Arabidopsis thaliana: one gene and its partner. The protein of the gene in region 1 interacts with the protein of each later gene in a pairwise test. Each region holds a gene or a part of one and is shown on either strand. Other genes may lie near its edges. The genes, in order: AT1G78310 and WRKY8.

Region 1 (3,935 bases):
GTTAAATGTCGTTGAAAGCAAAATTTGAAAACAAATGTCAAATAGAGAGTACCAAAACAAAACAAGAGCCACGCAACAAGAGAGTACGTTTACATGGGGACTTGTACTATGATTCTTTAATTATACTAATGAGCCCCACATTATGTGTTACCTTTATCCAATAACCTTTTTTTTTTTTTGGTTCTACAGAGTACAAGCTATCCAGGTTGAAAAATAATGCACAGAAGCATTTTTTTTTTCTTTTTCAAAAGCATAAATTTTCATCACAGAGAACAACCAAAACGTTAAATTTCTTCATTGTAGGACGCAAACAATAAATTAGAATCCATTAGCAGGAAAAACGGATTTAACAAAACCAAATGGACTGTAGAAATTGTTTTTGATAAGAATCAAATGGATAGTAAAATTGCAATGTATGGATCAAATAATTTATTACCCGTTTTACCTTTAGAATAAATATCGTAAGCATATATAAGACTTTTTTGCCGTCAATTGTTGGGTAAAATGAAACAACCAAACTTTATCTTTTGTTTAAATCCATAAATTCTACAAAACCTGACAAGTTTATTCCAAAGTAAGGTGTAACCGAAACTTATAAAAGAAAATGATCGACGTGATTGATACATATAAAGATATTATAATCTATGTATCATTCTTTCTATCATTGAATCTTGTAAAACTCATGGAATAATAAATTATACATTTCTAATAAAACAAAACTGCAAAAGATGAATATGCATGGAGTTGTATCAAATCCTCGGAAATATAACAACTCCGCATAGTAATTACTCGAATAGGTATTGGTCACAGAAACTTAGAAAATTCACTGTTACGAAATAACGTTCCCAATTAAAATACGTTTAAACCAATTTATTGAATGATACGTTTCAGTGTAATAAGCTTATTACTAAAGGCTTTTACCAATGCAAGAATATTTCAAACATTATTCCCTTTATTTTATTGTAACAAAAGAGAATATTTCAAACATTCCTATTCTCAAAAATTGGACATTTGGCCAACCATCTTCACATCATGCTAATCAGATATAGAGACCAGATTCATCTCAATTACTACATGATTAATCACTTCTACAAATCAGACATTAACAGTGTAACTAATACTCCATTTTGAAGGAAACAAAAAAAAAGGGTCGAAAGTCCATGTGATAGCTGTCTGTCTCGTGCTAATCTCACAGCCGTTGGATAAGTCGTTTGCTGACTTGAATCGGAGATTTCGGTGGAGTACGAAGTACAGGATAACTACCCATTAGTTTAAAAGACTGTACGAATGTCGTTTTCGGTAATACTTTTGGGGCTTTTGACCAAAATGGGCGTTGAATAACCCGACCCGTTAACCCAACTTATTTGTATTGTTTTATATATTATTTCATTGTTGAGCTTATTATTTGTAATTTTGTATAGCATTAAACAGAATTTTTTTAATGTGGTAGTTGTTTTTCATGAGATAACAGAAATTTTCAGATTTTTGTAATCTATATTATTGGCTTGATTTAGCAATTTTGGTTTGAATTGACACACCATATACTTAAATGCATGATTTACTAGATAAACTGAAAATTAAGTCATTCTGACAAAAAAGTTTATACGAACAATATCATTTGTGAAGCATGGTTTTGTTTTAGCGAGCTATTTATCAGAATTTTTAATATTTGTATCATCATTCCCAATTTCCCATAGATGAAATCATGAAAATACATTTTACTAATTCTGTTTTTTTTTATATAATTAAAATCATTATGAACAATAAACACTATCAGAATCTCAATATATTCTCCTCTCAAAACTTCAGTTTTTTTTTCCATTTGCTTTAGTTAGAAACAAAAATAAAGAAACAAATCTTAAAAAGAAGAGATGATATATTTCCATGTATATACAACTACAAGTATAGCATAAATTACAACTCACAACATCTAAATTTCTTTCTTAAAAAACAGTTACAACGAAACTAAATGCAGTAACCAATTAAGGGATTAAACAATATACAAATTGGTCAGGAATAGAATATATAAAGGTACATGTTCATACATATAAACACGCATTAATTATTTAATTAATCAGAGCATTATATGGAAGAGAATCCATAGATAAACATACAGACAAATTATTTCCTTTTCATCTTATTCTAGAAAAATCCAATTAAAGCTACTTATTATAGTCGTATAGCCTATAGTTTATATAAAACCAAAATTGTTTTTAACTTATAAAATATCTTTAAAATAAAATAAAAAGAGAAAAAAAAAGCCATTTTCATTTTTTCATCATCTTCGTCTTCTCCATTATCTCTCTACCCAAATCTGGCAGAGAAAAACAAAAGAAGAAGAAGAAGAAAAACTTTCGATATGGATAAGAGCTGTAACTCCTCCGGCGATTCCTCCGCCGTATCCGCCTCTGCAACGAGTAGTACCGGTAACAATACAACGAACAGAGATCATTACCTGAGACAACTCAATAAGCTGTCTCATAAGATATCAAAACCGACGAACTCTTCCTCCTCCGTCTCCGTCGCGAATCGTGAAATTGATCTTCCACCTCCTCCACCGCTGCAAATCAATCAAGGGAATCTCCATCAACATCAACCTCCTGTTTACAATATCAACAAGAACGATTTCAGAGATGTTGTTCAGAAACTAACCGGTTCACCTGCACATGAACGGATCTCTGCTCCGCCGCAACAACCGATTCATCACCCTAAACCTCAACAGAGTTCGCGTCTACATAGGATCCGTCCTCCTCCTTTGGTTCACGTTATCAATCGTCCTCCTGGTTTGCTAAATGACGCACTTATCCCTCAAGGTTCTCATCACATGAATCAAAACTGGACTGGCGTTGGATTTAACCTTCGACCAACGGCGCCGCTTTCTCCTCTCCCGCCGTTACCACCGGTTCACGCGGCGGCGGAATCACCGGTCTCTTCGTACATGCGGTATCTCCAGAACTCGATGTTCGCAATCGATTCGAATCGGAAAGAGTTCTCTGGATTATCTCCGTTAGCTCCTTTGGTCTCACCTCGTTGGTACCAACAACAGGAAAACGCTCCACCATCGCAGCATAACAGTTTTCCACCACCACATCCTCCTCCTCCTTCCTCTGCTGTTTCGCAGACGGTGCCGACATCGATTCCGGCGCCTCCACTGTTTGGATGTTCAAGTTCGCCTAAATCTCCGTACGGATTACTCTCACCGAGCATACTTTTATCGCCATCGTCAGGTCAATTAGGGTTCCCTGTATCTCCGACGACGGTGCCGCTTCCTAGCCCTAAATACAAAGGTCATTGATCAGAAAATCGGAAACCCTTGTCGGTCAAAGTGAGAAAACGTCGTCGTTTTGACCGTCGCGACAAAATTCCCTTTGTTCTTTTTGTACATCATTAGTGGAGAGTGGTGGGATCATTTGTTTTTTTTTTTGTTAATTAACTCAAAGATTACTTAAATCCGTTTTTTTTTTTACTTTCTTTTGTTTTCATGGTTTGTTCATGTTAGAAACAAAGAAGACTAGGAAAAAGAAAGGAATACACTTTTGCAACTCTATTCAATTTTTATAAGTTTGCCATTATGATTTCATCTCTTTGTAAATCAGATTGCATACAAGAGTTTTTTCTTCATCGTCTATTCGATGGGGTATTAAATTTTTGATTGGTTGATTAGCTATACCAAACACTTCACTGTTCCTTTGGTTGAATTTTATGCTCTGATGCTTTCATTTTAAGTTGAAACTTCAAACTCTGACGAGATCATTAATTTAAACCTGTAAAGTGTCAAATGACTAACGAGTGTCTATTGCTTAAATAGTTCTTTTGAAATGTATTTTTATTTTTATATAATCAAATTGATGATTGATTTCAGACCAGGTAAAGTAATTGGCTTTACGCAGTCCAATAAACTAGTCCGCTTTTAAAATTAAAAATTGATAAACAAT
Region 2 (3,935 bases), on another chromosome or scaffold:
CAACAAAAATCTTGAAGAAGTTTGGTGTATCCGTACATATTCCACGAAAATTGGTCGTAAATTTCAACTGCGAACATATAATTTTTGTCTCTATAAAGATTCATTTTTAATTTCCTTTTTATCTCATATAGACAGAGTGGTTGTCAGGTTGACTGCATACTGAGGTAATTTACAGAAATGAAAATATACTAAACCTCTTGGATATGAAGATGCCAGATTATACACAACGGTTACAGCAAATTAAGCTGTGAACAAGTGTATCAATATACTATGGGCTGATTTTTTTTTTATTTTTTTTTAAGTTTCAAAAGCCAAATCTTTTCCAATTAAGCTTTAATTATCTTCCTAATAACAGCCCCAAAAATGTTCCTAAATGTGTTTTAAAGATGTTTGCGTTTTTGTTAAGCCAACAAAAATGTGACCTTATTATTTTTGAAATGTGTTTTTTAGAATTGACTAATTTTGTTCGGTGCATTGCCCAATTAAATTTGCATTGTATTCAAAACAACTAGCTAGTAGTTATTGAAGTTTTGGTCCTTTGAGCATCATGGCTGAGTTGCTTTAATTTCTTTGGGCCATCGAGAATCTTGAATCGTAGTTTTGTCTTGAAAACGTTTTTCATCATTATTCGCATTTTTCGGAAACATTAGAATTGCAATTTAAATCTTTATATCATTTGTTTTTTTGATAAAGGGACAAGGGTTAGCAAACTTTTTAATCAAGTATTCCTATCAGCTGCATGCATAATGCTTTTTTTCAGATCGCATGAAGCTGAGATTCGTAATTTGAACAAAAAAATCCAGACACATGAACAGTTTATAAGTATACATTATTATATAGGTATAAATCTATAAAAGGAAAATAGGTATTTGACTGTACCTATGTAAAGTCAATTTCTGTTCACTTCTCATTGTCATTTTCGGTTAGGAATCATGTCTCTCTCTCTCTGTTTTTTTCTTTTTCATTTCCTATATATTTTCGATCATGTTTCACATTTTTATCCCAAAATAAAATAATTTGTTTTGTTGACAAAAAAAAAATGTATTAAATATTAAAGCATTGATATTTGACCGTAGTTCATATATTTAGTTATTTCTATTACTCTAACGTTCCTTTAATGTTTGGGGAAAGTTCTAATGTGAAAACTGAAAAGAGATTCTGCAGCGTGAATCGTGATGACGTTGGTAAATCGTCAGTATTTCGATCATATTTCTCTTTTCAACAGATAAAATCTAAACCTATACATAATGCAAAATGATTCATATAATCTTTCTTTAACGTCCTTGCTATTAGCCAAGCTTATTACAATATGAATCACTTTAATAAAGGATTTAAGCACCTGATAAGAAATTTCATTTTGTATATTGTTTTTTATAAAAATTAAGATTTTCATGTAAATTGGTTGTAACTAAGGTCGAAATTACACGGGAATATAATGTAATGTATAACATTGTCGCATTTGCACCTTGACTTTGGTGGAATATTAAATTGATAGACTAACGTCTGATATTTATTAGGGTTTGAGAACACAAATCCAGTAGTCCACCACGTGCCAGGTAATGTGTCGGTTACGGTCAAATGCCGGTGCCAATAATTACACGTGTCATCCTAATAACCCCACAATTCTCTTTGACTTTTTGACTTGGCTCTTCCTTCTTCACATAAAGATGACCGGAGACTGACTATTTCCGGTTACCGGTTAACTATTAGTCAGCATCATCGCCTTCTTCTACAACAAAGCTTGTTCCCACCTTATTCCACAATCTAAAAAATGGTAAATAACTAAACATTTACTTTTAAGACCCAAACATCTTTAAAAAGGTAAAAAAATAACCATCTTTTCAGGTTTTACTTGGTCAGAGTCAGACTTAAAAGAAGTTTCTTTATGATGATAAAATGGCTTTTCCTTTTATGTTCATGTTCACATTAAACGTTTAAGAAACAAAATGACAAGTATATGTTTCCTCACTCGAGGCCACTTTTGTAACTCTCGATTTGGGAGGTAAAACGCATCTTGTCAACTCAACTTTATAAAAGTTATCATTATTTTAAAAATACAATAAAAGTCATTCAAACCCCAAAACTCTTTTTGAATCATTCACACTTCAATACTCTTTCATTCAACCTTAGATTTGTATATATCTAAGACAAAATAAAATATGCTAAAACGCCATTTACTATATTTATTTAGCAAGACATAAAATAATATATATTTTCAAAAGGCATAAATACGAGAAGACCCAAAAGTCTTAACACCAAATTTAGACCGACTAAAAAATTCATTAACGTAAAAAAGTTCTTGTTTCTTTCTTTCTTTTCTTCTTCTTCACGCTCCTCTCTTTGTCATTTTCTTTTTCTTTCTTTTTGGTTTAAGTTTTTTCTCTTTGTTCTTCGTCATGTCTCATGAAATCAAAGATCTTAACAACTATCACTACACTTCATCGTATAATCATTACAATATCAACAACCAAAATATGATTAATCTCCCTTACGTTTCTGGTCCATCTGCTTATAATGCAAACATGATCTCATCATCACAAGTAGGTTTTGATCTACCCTCGAAGAACTTGAGTCCTCAAGGAGCCTTCGAGTTGGGTTTCGAGCTTTCTCCATCTTCTTCTGACTTTTTTAATCCTTCCCTCGATCAAGAGAACGGTTTGTATAATGCTTATAATTATAATAGTAGTCAAAAGAGTCATGAAGTTGTCGGTGATGGTTGTGCAACCATTAAGAGTGAAGTTAGGGTTTCAGCATCTCCTTCTTCAAGTGAGGCCGATCATCATCCAGGAGAAGATTCCGGCAAGATCCGGAAGAAAAGAGAAGTTCGCGATGGAGGAGAAGATGATCAACGCTCTCAGAAAGTGTAAGTTTCATAAGTGTTATCCTAATTAAATTACTTAGTTAAGCAAGATAAATATATTTAGAATTCACATGAATCATGATCAGTTTGACTAATTTCTTTTGCTTTTATTTACCAAATAACAAAAAAAAAACTTCTCTGATCTTAATTACGAGAAAGAAAAAAAAACACATTTCTTGTTTTTCACTTTGAGGCCCATATCAAATATAATTATTTTCATTGCTTGAAAATTATTTTCATGAACTAACTAAGCAATACTGATTTCAATTTTTTTAGACTAACATAAAGTATATAGTTTGCATGCCATAAAATGACATCTTTAAGAACAACGTCGAGATTTAAATTTTGATAAAAGTATATATGTACTTGTGAATATTTAATTTTACATTAATATTTTTAGGTAGAATTTAAGTTTCATAATTGAAAGAATGACAACTCAAGTTATTTCGTTCATATTTTTTCTGTAATACAATTTAATATTTGAGATTCTATCCTGATTTTTGTTTTCAAAGATTATTTATTTCATTTGTTCGTACCTATAATTATTGATGTATAAATCTTATCCCTAAAGAAACCACTTAAACAAAAAGACGTGTCCCATTTATTTTTTGGCAGACTACACCTTAAGATTATTGTATTTCTTGTGTCATATGTCCTAACAATCATTTGATGCTTATCTTAGTTTAATATAGTTCAATGAATCAAAGTCAAATGTACGGTACGGTGCCATTAATTAAAGATGGTCCAACTTAGTTAAGTATTGATTTAATTGATCAGTAACATATGGTTCACCAGAGTTAAAACAAAGAAGAAAGAGGAGAAGAAAAAAGAGCCACGAGTCTCGTTCATGACTAAGACCGAAGTTGATCATCTCGAAGACGGCTATCGTTGGAGAAAGTATGGCCAAAAAGCAGTCAAAAACAGTCCTTATCCGAGGTAATTTATTCGGTCAATATATAATTTGTTAACTGATCGATTATTACATACGAAAATAGATTAAGTATGGCAAAATGTCGCAAAATGTAGTTTTGAGTTTAGCTTTTGGCTTTTTCAAATCTTAAGCATTATTTATCAA

Evidence for each region.
Region 2: the proteins of AT1G78310 (region 1) and WRKY8 interact in a two-hybrid assay, tested with the Arabidopsis thaliana proteins (one study listed by BioGRID).

The regions. Positions count from the first base shown.
Region 1 is NC_003070.9:29,463,363-29,467,297, reverse strand, and holds AT1G78310 (VQ motif-containing protein), read left to right. Parts: upstream 1-2,048; 5' UTR 2,049-2,359; coding exon 2,360-3,295; 3' UTR 3,296-3,750; downstream 3,751-3,935. UniProt on the Arabidopsis thaliana protein: Functions as a negative regulator of salt stress response.
Region 2 is NC_003076.8:18,802,363-18,806,297, reverse strand, and holds the start of WRKY8 (WRKY DNA-binding protein 8), read left to right. Parts: upstream 1-2,241; 5' UTR 2,242-2,396; coding exon 2,397-2,863; intron 2,864-3,655; coding exon 3,656-3,796; intron 3,797-3,935. UniProt on the Arabidopsis thaliana protein: Transcription factor. Interacts specifically with the W box (5'-TTGAC[CT]-3'), a frequently occurring stress-responsive cis-acting element. Functions as a positive regulator of salt stress response.